Nothobranchius furzeri: one gene and its partners. The protein of the gene in region 1 binds, or shares a complex with, the protein of each later gene. Links are inferred from orthologs where the notes say so. Each region holds a gene or a part of one and is shown in the gene's direction. Other genes may lie near its edges.

The links. The genes of interacting proteins can lie anywhere in the genome.
Region 2: the proteins of mrasa (region 1) and ppp1cc are in contact, whole or in part, in a cryo-EM structure (PDB 7SD0), measured with the Homo sapiens proteins. The link is inferred for Nothobranchius furzeri from reciprocal best matches to the Homo sapiens genes MRAS and PPP1CC. Residues at the interface, in NP_001078518.1 of Homo sapiens: Ala5, Ile31, Gln35, Lys36, Ile37, Val39, Asp41, Glu47, Asp48, Ser49, Leu51, Lys52, His53; in NP_002701.1 of Homo sapiens: Pro178, Asp179, Gln181, Gln185, Arg188, Ile189, Met190, Thr193, Asp194, Pro196, Gln198, Leu201, Trp216.
Region 3: the proteins of mrasa (region 1) and ppp1caa are in contact, whole or in part, in a crystal structure (PDB 7TXH), measured with the Homo sapiens proteins. The link is inferred for Nothobranchius furzeri from reciprocal best matches to the Homo sapiens genes MRAS and PPP1CA. Residues at the interface, in NP_001078518.1 of Homo sapiens: Val6, Pro7, Ile31, Gln35, Lys36, Ile37, Val39, Asp48, Ser49, Tyr50, Leu51, Lys52, His53; in NP_002699.1 of Homo sapiens: Pro178, Asp179, Gln181, Gln185, Arg188, Ile189, Met190, Pro192, Thr193, Pro196, Asp197, Gln198, Trp216, Gly217, Glu218, Phe225.

The regions. Positions count from the first base shown.
Region 1 is NC_091754.1:14,865,472-14,869,825, forward strand, and holds the start of mrasa (ras-related protein M-Ras), read left to right. Parts: upstream 1-1,411; 5' UTR 1,412-1,548; intron 1,549-4,354. UniProt on the Homo sapiens protein: Signal transducer in the Ras-MAPK signaling pathway that regulates cell proliferation and survival. Core component of the SHOC2-MRAS-PP1c (SMP) holophosphatase complex that regulates the MAPK pathway activation.
Region 2 is NC_091757.1:28,392,172-28,396,667, reverse strand, and holds the start of ppp1cc (serine/threonine-protein phosphatase PP1-gamma catalytic subunit A), read left to right. Parts: upstream 1-1,620; 5' UTR 1,621-1,929; coding exon 1,930-1,984; intron 1,985-2,508; coding exon 2,509-2,640; intron 2,641-2,819; coding exon 2,820-3,050; intron 3,051-3,732; coding exon 3,733-3,837; intron 3,838-4,054; coding exon 4,055-4,278; intron 4,279-4,496. UniProt on the Homo sapiens protein: Protein phosphatase that associates with over 200 regulatory proteins to form highly specific holoenzymes which dephosphorylate hundreds of biological targets.
Region 3 is NC_091745.1:8,628,336-8,632,505, reverse strand, and holds the start of ppp1caa (protein phosphatase 1, catalytic subunit, alpha isozyme a), read left to right. Parts: upstream 1-1,294; 5' UTR 1,295-1,431; intron 1,432-1,719; 5' UTR 1,720-1,767; coding exon 1,768-1,822; intron 1,823-4,170. UniProt on the Homo sapiens protein: Protein phosphatase that associates with over 200 regulatory proteins to form highly specific holoenzymes which dephosphorylate hundreds of biological targets.

The DNA.
Region 1 (4,354 bases):
TTTCCTAATTAATAAATTTGCTCCATTAGGAGTCAAATTAATTCCTCTGTATGACTTTTCCCTTATTTTGAATGAGTAACTAAGTGTATTTTTCCCCAAAACAATTTTTGTTAGATGGAATGACTTTCTGAGATAAGATAAAGGTGGAGAAAAAAATAACTTAAGGAAAAAAAACTGCAATATTTCTGATGGCACGCACTGTACCAAAATGGTCGATACGGTCTGCCTGGATTTCTTTTTATTTAACCTTTATTTATCCAGGAAAACCGTTTGAGAACCACTTCTCATTTACAAACATGATCGCACTGGTTAATTTCTATCAACTAATACCTCTTTCACTTTTCTATATTTTACTTTTTTGCATGAATTTTGATTCAGCAAATATTCAGATCCTATTTTATGGATAATACTGCATAAAGAGAGACATAATTTTCAATAAGTCGTTTCCCATTACTAAAACAGGAGCAGGGAAACGATTAATGTGTAATTATTAGACCTAGTTAAATAGGTAAAATGCATATCTAACCCCCTTTTCCAAAATTTGAACAAATTATTTTTAAACATTTTTTAGCTATATGCCCTTCTGTTAAAATAAACTAACCAAAATTTTTTTTAAATCTACTATTAATGTGCAGATGTATTTTTTTTACAATTCCACATTTAAACGTTTTCCCTTAATTTTGTTTCTTATGAAAATAGCCGGAACACTTTCTAATATATTTGTGTCCATGAATAATGTATCAGTACATCCACACTATACATGAGCTATCCACATTCCTGAATGTTTGCTTCAGTCATATGTGGCTTTAAGTTGCCACCGAGAGTTCATGCTGACAAAAAGCATCATTATTGTGGTTTCTGGAAAGTGCTGCCTGTATGTGGCTAATTATGTTTCCAGTAATGTACATGTTTTTCCACCAGTAGGTTTCCTCATATTGAATAAATGATGATAATGATAGAAGAACTAGCAAGTGCCAAATAGCTAAACAATGTTTTGAGCTTAAAAATATAATGTAAAAATCAATTAGACACTTCTGTATTGGAAATCAAATAAAAATAGAAGTAAAATAAACATATGACCCAGAATATCAACCAAATTATCTGTCAATACCCTCTTTTATTGGAAATGCTAATTAGCTACTATCCCTTTAACGGCGTTCGCTACTCGTAGGAATAGCCCATTTTTCTAAAAAGGGGGAAATCGGTGATTTCTTTTTCCCGTTTATTAAAGAAATATATAAAACTTAAGCATTGGAAACATACTCCATTTTGTTAAATTCAGAATTAAATGCATTCGAAGATGAAACTTTAACCAAAAGCCACTTTATTCTGTTTAATATTGTCACTAGAAACGGGTTTCCCCCCTCCGAGGCATTTCTATATATAGTATCAACTATTGCAATACAAAGATTAGCTACTCGCTGCATTGTTTGGCAGATGTGGGCAGCTCGCTCCCGTCTCTCTGTGCCGTTTAAAGGGCGGCGGCGATGAGGAGGAGCAGCATGTCGGTGTGAAGACGTTTCTTTCACCGTAGAGGAGTTCATTCCGGTAAGTAAGTAGCTGGCCCGCTCGGTCAAACGAATTAGCTCGTTCACGAATGTCTTAAAATCCCGGTCCGCTCTGTCTCTCTCCCTCTATCTCAGGAACAGTAACTTACTCAAGCGCCTTCCACTAATGACAGCTAGCTAACCGGTCAGAGAGGACGAGTTGTTTTAATTTAACGGGTTGTTTGTTTTCTAATCTTGGAAGAAAACCATGAAGCAGTTCAGGTCCGTTATTTGGGGGCGGCTACTGTCTTGTTTTCCATCGGCTGCTCACACAAGCGGGCCTTGGCTTTTCTGCGTGTCAAAATCGCCCATGGGGTCGAAAAAACCCAGTTCTGTCAGAAACGATCAGGGAAAACCCTTCATTTAGCCCTGCCATTCACACCAGCGGCGTCTGAGAAGCTGGATGTGAGGAGGACGACACTGAGGGATTCTTCATCAGATCATGGCATGAGATCACTCAGAAGCACCAGATTAAGACCTATTAATAGAAATGTGAAATCATCAGATCATTTCTCTGTCTGCAGGCGAAACGCTGGCATCATTATTCCACAAAAAGGCCAGCTGCTACACAGGATCGTCACGCAAATGTTGATGTCATTAGAAAAAAAAGTGCATTGCTTTTATCTTAAATTTAGGTGTTGTTTAATCACAAATAATCTGATTTTCAGAATGTTAATCTTAACTTAATCCAATTTATTCCATTGCTTAGAACGAGGAGGTGCAACTAAATTACACGCAGGATTACACAACGTTTCCAAAACTCTTAAGCTTGTGATCCACAAAATGCCAGACTTGTCTCCTAATACATCAAGGTAAAATATGAAAACATTATTGATATGTAATTTACAAAGTCTTTTGTCAATTGTGGTACAATATTTTATTTTTTGGCCCTTATTTATTTATTTATTTGCTGTTTTCAGCTTTTTATAATTTTTAAATGGAAATCTGGAGTTTCCCCCTTTCAGGAGTTATGTTGGCCTGGCAGGCTGTCCAATATGTGTAAATATATAGTCTGGCCACCACCATAGACAGAGCTACGTTACTGCATGCAGTTGGGCAACTTTGGGACCAATAGGAGCAATGAATATGACATCGTCATTGCCAAAGCCTGCTTCACGCTGGAGGCATCAGAATGTCGCTGCTTCAAACAGAATCCATTATAGTCTATGGGGGTGATGCGCAGAAATTTATGCGTCCCAGAAGCAACGCACCGCATCCCGCTCAAAGATGGGATTGATTTCTGTTTTTGCTGCGAGTTGCTTCTGGGACACATCAATTTCCGCAGTTTAACATGGGGCTAGACAGGAATTCACACACTGTTTTAGTGTAAGACGTCTGGTAATTTTCAAAATAAGACTATTGTAGCGATGCAATTTCATATCATGCAGATTACGTGAATACTGGCGACGTAACTGCTTTTTTAGTCCTAGCATCTTTGGAGAAGTGCAACGGTGTTTTTCATGGCTTTAATCCTGGCAGTGGAGAGGAACAACATTATATATATATATATGACATTAAACAGCCGCTCCGTGGCTGAGACTCTCCCGCTGTGGACTGGCGCGCAGCAAATCATGCTAGTAAACCATTCCAATGCCATTTCATGCCACTGATGCCTCCAGTGTGAAGGACCTGTAAGGAAATCTGTCAATGAGGCAGTTCAGCCTACATTGTTGAAGAAAATACACATAATTCTTTGGTAGGGATGAGCGAGTACACCACTATCTGTATCTGTATCTGTTCTACCATCTATTGGGCCATTCCCATCTGTACCGGGTCGGCCCGGGCCGGGTAGCCCCAGTCGGCCCCAGCCTGGCCCGGTTGATTCCACACATCCTTGCCTTAAGCCCATGTGGGCTGATTCTACCCACCAATCAGAGGCTTGCTCTAATGGAAGGTGTGAATTTGCTTTCAGCAGTGGGTGTGTTGGCCCTGGTCGGCCCTCGAGAAGAGGGCTGAGAGTGAGCCTCGGTTGCCCCGGAAAAATACCAGGCCACCCAGATATGTAAACAACCTACACTACCTGGCCCGGGCCAACCCGGTACAGATGGGAATGGCCCATAAATTATCTGTATCTGTACTCGGAGTGGGTGTGGCCTAACCAGGAAGTGGGTGTACGTTAACCGGAAGTGGGTGTGGTTTACATCAATACGTTATATTTTGTCTGATCAGAAGTTGCTATGTGTATTGTTTATTTGAAAACTATTTACAGAGCAGCATCAGAGTTGAGATTAAATGTTTTTGATCACAATAGTAAAGGAACTAATACAGAACAAGTTTTTCAATAAAATCAGAACATTGATATTTAAGTGCATGAATTGAGAGAGAGAAGAATAGATCTTTTCTAAAGCGCCTCTCAAGATAAAAATCACGGGGCGCTTCACAAAAACAAAACATGCAAAATAGACAAAAGAATTTAGAAAATTATTCAAATATATTTAAAATGATCAAAAAATAGACAGTTGTGATTAAAAAATGTAAAGAAAGAGACAGAGTGGAATAGGAAAGAGGGAGCAGATCCTGAGTATGAGGAGAGAGAAAAAAAAAACCCGACCGGAGAGGAGGCAGTGACTGACGCAGCACGAGCCGTTTTCAGCTGTCTTGTCAAATGCACCACGTACGTTACGAAAAAAGTAACTTTAAATAACTTTAAAGTAACTTTAAAAAGAAGCAAACTGAAGAAAACATGGGGCAGGGGGTGCCCAATCCTGGTCCTGGAGGGCCGGTATCCACCACGTTTTAGTGGTTTCTCTGCTCCAGCACACTTGATTCAGTGGTTGAATCACCTGTGCAGCAGCTCACCAGGCTCT
Region 2 (4,496 bases), on another chromosome or scaffold:
GGTATTTCACCTTCTCACACACATTAAGATCACTATTAGACAGTTTGAACACAGGAAAGTTTAGCTTTTTATCTTGCTTGGTTCTACATATCAAGATAGCACTTTTAACAGCATTATACTGGATATCGTACTGCACACCATATTCAGAACAGATATTCAGGAGCTGCTGTAAACCAGCACTACTTGGACTGAAGACCACCAGGTCATCAGCATACAAATTAAATAAGATAGACAGAATTCCACCCTGCCTAACACCATTACTAACACCAAATGGTGCAGAGATGCTGCCACCCCATTTAACCTGCATCATCTGATGAGCATACCAGTAAGACAGGATTCTCACAATAACCCCAGGGACCCCCCGTAGCTTTAACTTAATAAAAGGTTTTCTGTGGTTTACACGATCAAAAGCCTTAGAAGCATCAATAAAACACATAAGGACAGAAGAAGTTCTATTTCTATACCGGTTCACCATTTCTTTAAGTGCGTATATACACATGTCAGTACCAAGTTTTGGCTTAAAGCCAAACTGATTATCCAAGGAATTAAGGTACACAGTGATTCTATCAAATATGATTATTTCTAGATAAAACACTGGCTAGTGCAATCGGCCTATAATTATCTATACTGGTCACCTTCCCAGATTTGTTCTTAATAACTGGGACAAGCAGAATTGCCATCATTGAGTCTGGTAGTATGCCATGAATCATAAACCCTGTAAAACAAAGAGCTAAAAGGGAAGCTAGCCTTAGGCTAGTATATTTCAAATGTTCTGCACTAATGTGATCCAGACCACAAGCCTTGTTATCAGCTAGTTTGTGAATAGCTTCATGCACCTCATGGGTCGTTAAACATCTATATGTTCATCATTAATAACAGAGCCATCCTCATACCGATCACTTTTTAAACAATTTTACATTGCATAATAATGTTGTCTCCATAATGCTGCAATATTATCTTTCCCATTGATCTGCTATTTTTTAAAAGTGCATTTTAATTAATTACTCCATAATTATCTTGTAATAAGCTGATGTTCCCTTCAGATAAGAAAATATAAGTCAATCATGCAGCTTTTCTATTTCATAACGAATCAAATTCTACAGTATAATATGTAAAAAGAAACTTTCTTAATTTACATAGGTGTGTGTGTGTGTGTGTGTGTGTGTGTGTGTGTGTGTGTGTGTGTGTGTGTGTGTGTGTGTGTGTGTGTGTGTGTGTGTGTGTGTGTGTGTGTGTGTGTGTGTGTGTGTGTGTGTGTGTGTGTGTGTGTGTGTGTGTGTGCAAATTATGTATAAATTATATATTTTTTCTTTTTCTTTTTCACCCTATGACAAGGCCCAGACAGACATAAATACATTTCTGAACAGATTGCTCTTATAAGACGTCTTGATATTCCTGGTAAATGTGAATATCTGCCATGACACTTTCTGCTGCTTCTCCGTAGACATGAATGTCTGTGTGCTACCCATCGACATGTGCATATACTCCAGGTGCCACCTGCAGCTTTGTCGTGTTTATAATAATATGCTCAGGCGTTCTCACATCCAGACCAGTAGGAGGCAGCAGCGGTTTAGTTAGCAGCAGCTAGCTCTTAGCAGCTAGTTAGCAAGGTGCGGCAGCGGAAAAGGAAAACAGACTGGTCTCCTCTCCGCGCTAGCGCAGCTTACGTACATTTTTATGTCGCGGTTTTTATGAAGACGTACACTAGATTTTACTGAGAACAAATATTGCGATTTTTTTAAGTAGCTTATTATATTTTATGAATTATTAGCCAGCACGTAAACAGATACTGGGTTGATCTGAAATATTTCACGCTAAACCGGAAAATCAATATCGCTAAGACGATAGCTAATGCTAGGATAGCTAGCGGGTTAGCTCTCCGAACTGAAAGACCTACCTTTGGCTGAGTTCATTTAGTAAACGACTGCAATGGCTGATGTTGACAAACTCAACATAGACAGTATTATTCAACGTCTTTTAGAAGGCAAGTATGTTCATAAATGTTGTACATTTACACAAATTTTGACGCTTTACAAACAGGCAGCGCATTATATCATGAAACCCGTTTGCTAATGTTTTCCGTTATTATTGGTTTTACTCCCGAATTGACATCTAATGTGTTTTAATTGTAAATTTTCAATATAATCAAATGACAATGAAAGATTTGTAAAAACAGTTACTAAACTATATTAACGTAGTTGCGCATACCGGCGCTAGTCCGCCTTTGCGTGACCTATGATTTTAGCCGCTGCTGCTGGCTTTTATTCCTTCTCATCTACAGTAGATGATCTACTATTATACATATGAACATGTTTACTATATTTTAAACCAACAAAATAAACTTCGTAACGCTTGTCCCGATAGAATATAATAGTATGATGATGCATCTCGTACAAATACGTATGTTACTTCCTACATTTCCAAACAAATACTGCATCAGGCACTGCTGACAAAGCAGCAATAGTTATGTTGTTTTTTTGCTGACTGATGTTTGTGTTTTCTCTGCAGTCAGAGGAGCAAAGCCTGGGAAGAATGTGCAGTTGCAGGAGAATGAGATTCGTGGATTGTGCCTGAAGTCCAGGGAGATTTTTCTCAGTCAACCCATTCTTCTGGAGCTGGAGGCCCCTCTCAAAATATGTGGTTAGTAAAAACCATCATTTTTTTATTTACTGTTGCTTATTAATAAACGTTTTTCTCTTCGAGCTAGATTCTACCAATTACATAAATGTCAACATTTGATTCCAAAGTTAAAAGCTTGCTTGTCCAGTTTTTGCAGGTGCATTATTTATTTATTTATTGCTGTTTGTTTTGTTTTGCAGGTGACATTCATGGGCAATACTATGACCTGCTGAGGCTGTTTGAGTATGGAGGCTTTCCTCCAGAGAGCAACTACCTGTTTCTGGGCGACTATGTGGACAGGGGGAAGCAGTCTTTGGAAACCATCTGTCTTCTGCTGGCCTACAAAATCAAATACCCAGAGAACTTCTTCCTGCTGAGGGGAAACCATGAGTGTGCTTCAATCAACAGAATATACGGTTTCTATGATGAGTGTGAGCAGCTTGCCATTTAATTGTGTCACTGTTTGGTCTCTTGTGTGAACTTGCAGCAGCTTTCATGTTGTTAAACGTTTACCCCGGGTTTCCACGGGAGCCGTCAGCAGCACGTTACTGCAGCAGCACGTCTTGCTCGCGTAAGCTGCTGCTTGGCCCTTCCCACGAGACGCGAAGCAGCAGGGGAGCAGCTGTCACCGACAGAGCACGAAGTCACACGAGTGACTTCGTCAGTAAACACAACAACAAGCAGGAGAAAACTACAACATGGTTTGGGTTTTATGTTCTGTCCGTTTTATAATGGCCAATACGGACCTGAAAACAAAGGAGACCGCTAGCTAGGTGATAACTTCTCATGGGGACGCACAGTTAGTAACCTTTTTTAAAAGTAAAGCAACCGGAAGGCAGTACGTTCTTTATTCTGAAAATCTCTGTAGCTTCTCTCCTTTTCCGCGTCAGATTTCCTGTCTTTCCTTCCCCAAAAATGTCGAACTTGACCCGTTTCAGAGGCGTCGCGCGTAGAAAATAGAACTGGCGCGTAAAGGCTGCGACATGCTGCTCCTGAGACGCGGCCGACTCGCGCTGCTGACGGCTCCTGTGGAAAGCCGGGGTTAGTGAAAACTTGAATTTTTGTTGCTGTTGTGCCTTCAAAATAAAAGCATAACTATTTGTCTTGTTTTAGGTAAACGAAGGTACAACATCAAACTCTGGAAGACCTTCACGGATTGTTTTAATTGCCTCCCTATTGCTGCCATTGTGGATGAAAAGATATTTTGCTGTCATGGAGGTGTGTTTTGTCTTTAACAGAATATTGATGTTTAATCAGAACGTTTATGTTGCCTAGTGGAAAGCAGCTCGTCAGAAGAGGCTTGGCTTTGACGTCAGCCGTTCTTATTTGTCATTGTGAAATGATGTTGACTGGTGTTTGCAGCGACCCATGTGAAGTAGGTCTGACCTCTGTATCAGTTTGTTTGTTTGTACAACTGCTGTGTTGTTGCTTTCAGGACTGTCACCTGACCTTCAGTCGATGGAGCAGATCAGACGCATCATGCGGCCCACGGACGTGCCTGACCAGGGCCTCCTGTGTGATCTGCTTTGGTCCGATCCAGACAAAGATGTTTTGGGCTGGGGCGAGAATGACAGGGGGGTCTCGTTCACCTTCGGCTCAGAGGTGGTTGCCAAGTTTCTGCACAAGCATGACCTCGATCTGATCTGCCGTGCTCATCAGGTAACTGTGCTCACACGGTGGTGCATGGACATCGCGTCCTGTGCTGGCAAACTGTAGACTAAAGAGGAGGCCAGGTGCTCTTCTTACATTATGATCCCGGTGGGAAAGGAGGATTGTTCCTCTCAAATGGAGGGAATAGAAGCTAGCTCTCATTCACTCCTCCATGAAGGTCCTGATAATGTAAACAGAGAAGCATAAAACAGGATGTTAGCTGCAGA
Region 3 (4,170 bases), on another chromosome or scaffold:
TTCAGGGTGGCCTTTTATTGTGGGCAGTCTAAGGCACACCTGTACATTATTCATGCTGTCTAATCAGCCCTGTGATATGCTACAACCTGTGAGGTAGGATGGATTATCTTGGTAAAGGAAAAGTGCTCACTACACGTAGACAGATTTCAGAACACTATTTGAGAGTCATGGATCTTTTGTGTTTGTAGACAAAATTTCAGATGTTTAAATGTCCAATATATGCACTGAACAAAAATATAAATGCAACACTTGTTTTTGCTCCCATTTTTCATGAGCTGCACTCAATTTTCATATGCATTAATTATAAGGTTTTGTTTCCAAATGGGAGGTTCCCACCACTGCCTGTTTGACCGAGTCACACATCTTGTCACGCCCAAACAATCCAAAAATGGGAATAGAGGTGGAGCTGAGGGTGGGGCTGTCACGTTTGGAACAGTGTTGGAACAGGTTGGAACAAATGAGTCAGTGTAGCTACTAACTTACTTAGGTAACTCAAGAAGGGTTCCAGAGACTGGGGTAGCCAACTCGCTTGGGTGTGAGGCTTTAGTTATGCTGGTTGCTTGTGGAGATCTAGCTGGGGCACACCGGAGGCGGACGTGCCGCGTTGCACCCAAGATTTTGAGAAGTAGTCACACAGGAACGCTGAGCGCTTCATGGAGAGCCCTACGATAGTCACGTCACACGGGACTTGAGAACAGGAAGCAGGAAGTGACTGTTGTTTTTACGTGATCAGACTTGCCGTAATGTTTTTGTGAGACTCAAATTCTTTACTTTAATTATTATTAATCAACCTAAAAAAATTTTTTTTTGAACCAGGCTTTAAAGACTCTTAGTCCAATTCACAGAGGTGGAGAAATAAAATAAATAAGTAAACATTGTACAGATTTGATAAAATGAAATTAGCACAACATGACAGGCTAAAGCACAAGAGACAAAACAATTATGAAAACAAAAACAAGAGACAGTAATAACAGTAGTGTGAAAAGTATACAATATAGTAACTCCTAAAAAAGACTGTAATACCAGTGTTTCCACATCTTTGACTAGATTTCTATTTGAGTTGGTTATTTCTTCTATATGAACACGTGGTGGCGCAAATTGAGTTAGAAATCTGAGCCGTTGTGAAAGACAAGGGGCGGAGGCTCGTTTTCGGACAGATTCAGCAGTCAACCAATAGGATTCGACAATGACTTCTGAAATGTTCCATAGACCAATCATCATTCGAGAAATGTGTGACGTCTTAAGTTTGATTCAGCCCCTCGTGTTACAGTAGACGCTCGATTTAAACGGCCTTCTTTTAAAGTTCCTGGTGGGGGGGTGGTGGTGGGAAGAGTTGCGCGACCTCGACAAAGGAGGAAAACGGCCACAATTCGACTCAGAGATATTTAAGTTCCAGGGTTGAAGTAACAGCAGGGTAGACATCACTCTAAGGTCTGGAAACATTTAATGCATTGCTAGAGCTAACGATCCGTGGTCTAGTAATGTGTATCTGTAGCTTACTTCGGCTGGATTCAATAAAGTTTGTTTAAAAAAAAAGTGTAGCTAATGCTATTTGGCTAGCGGCGTCGTTAGCTCGATCTCCGCTAAGCTCATTGATTATTCTCTGTTGCTAGATTCATCAGCGCGGTAGATTCGTTAATAACAAAATGTGAGCGGTGACATATTTTATGACTAACAACAGGCACGCATATCTTGTTGTCTTTATTCTTTCATTATAAGGTGAAAACCAAGGTCTCGACTTCCCGATAACGTCAGAAAATACAGAAAATGGCGGAGCCGGACAAATTAAACATCGACTCTATAATTCAGCGTCTCCTGGAAGGTGAGAAATATTCTGTCCGTTACGTAGCAGATTATATTTTTGTGAGCTTGTAAATGCTAGATGGTGGTAAACTGTTAACTAGGTTGGCCAGTAAAAAAGGTTAAAGACACGATAAAGTGGCTGTTTTGTGTTTCTTTTCTCCGCCGCCGCAGTTGGATATTTTTTACACAAAATGTTTTTATTTTACTCAAGTTTCTCTGATAACCGGCTCCATCCTCACGGTTTCTCTTTATTTGTTCTTAATTTAAATCAAATGCATGACTGTACACAGTGGTGTATGAACTTCATAATGTCTTCAGATGTAAACCAAATGTTTTTTTTTTATTTTGTAGCCTTTTCTGTAGACATTTCATTTCTTGTTTATCATTTTATGTAAACTATATATTTTGGGTTTGAGCAGCATTGTTGGTAGTTGGAGGATTTGAAATGGTTCTGTAAGTAAAAAGATCATTACTCTGATTCAAGGTAATGTTTGTACAGACAGATCGGTTGTAGTCATTTAGTTACCTTTTACAAACTAAGATTGTGCTATTTTAAGTCTTTATCACATGTGTAAGGTGTGGGTTCCTTCTGTCTTTATTGGCTGAAAAAGTGCTCTTCATACAATTTCTAAATGGACATAAGGACTTTTACAAGTATTTCAACTTTCACAATATGATTGTGCAGCGGGACCATATGACCCTATGGTGTGCCTACACCTGAACTGACCCACTCTGACCAATACCTACACTGACTTGTATAACGTAGCTGATTCACTAATTTTTGTCTCCCTACATTGTCATTTCATTGTGTTTATTCGTTTAAAATTTAGCATATCATTAATTTTTTCTTGCTCCAAGTACTGCACCAATTTCCTAATGGGATTCTCGCATAAATGACAATAAAACCCTCCTGATTCTCAAGGAGCCTTGAGTGCAACAAATGCAGACAAAACTTCTCACCATGAACTTGATTTCATAAGCAAAAGAAATTGTTGTAATCCAGACATTCAAACACTTTGGGCTCCAGGTCCCAAATTTAGCAGTCTCAAGGACTTCTGACCCACTGGTTGAAGTGCACAAAAAGTAATAATTTGATCCAACGTTGGCATAATGATAACACACACACAACCTCCAAAGAACTCCAACCACTGGGTCTTGTCAGGACAAAAACAGAAAAGCTGTAGAAAAGAACCAAGCAATGGAATTTGACAGATTACACACAAACTCACTAAAGGGTAAAACACTTAGTTGGTGAAAGGCATTAATTTATTTCTGGTGATCAAAACCGTTTGCTATAACCAAACACTTTGAGGGCATTAATTTAAACTTAATGAATTACATGAATGATGGGTCAGATCTACATTACATGCTTACCTCCAGTAAAAAAAATAAGTTTGCATCCATCTTTGCATCTTGCACAAGAATAGTAGTTAAAGGTGGAATATGGAACACGAACACCACAGCAACAGCTAGTGTGTGGAGATTAAAGTTGCAACAATAGAACAAGGTTTCCAGTCATCTGCAAGCTAGGTTCACTGCCGATACGTGACATTTTTCATTTGGGTCCGTCTGTTGTAGGCTTCACCTACACTCACTGAGAAGGATAATGACATCTGGGCTCAGAAGCAGCTGCTTGACTTGCCGAGTCGTCCGTTTTCCACAATGCCAGCCTCGCTGTGCGCAGCAAGCTGTTTGGCAACCCACAGCGGTGCCCTCTATTGGCTGGTAGATGTAAACATAAACCCAGTGTCGTGCCTGTCAGAATATATATTTAATCTATATTATTATTAGATTTTTTTATTAAAATATATCTTTCAAAGGAAGTACTGTACCTTCATTCAGCATAATGCCTTGTGGGGGTATTAATTTTGAAAAATATATAGATTTTTATTAAATTGTTCCATATTCAACCTTTAAATAGTCTTTATTCATGAAGCTCAAATATAAATTGTTAGTATCTAGAAATATTAAGGTGTAAAACACTGTAACAACCATTTTTAGTCTTATTTCTGAGTATAATTGGTCACTTGGAGTTTTTCATGCAGGCTTGTACTTGTGATGCACAACTAAAGCCCACACTCGTTACATTCGTGAACAAAAATTAAAGAGAAAATGGGATGACCACAGAAAGCTAGATAGATAGATACTAGACAAGTTGGGAGTCGGATGCAAGCAGAGGTGTCATGGCCGACTGACCTGTTGCGGGTTCAGTTTGCTGCACCATGTTCTGCCAGGCTCAGCGCTTTGATGTGAGGCTTATTGTGTTTGAAGTGTTAAATAGCTAAGAACTGATTGAGCTAATTGGTTTGTTCATGTGATGAGCCCATTTATTTTTCTGCGGTTTCCCAGTAAACATATTTTGATAGT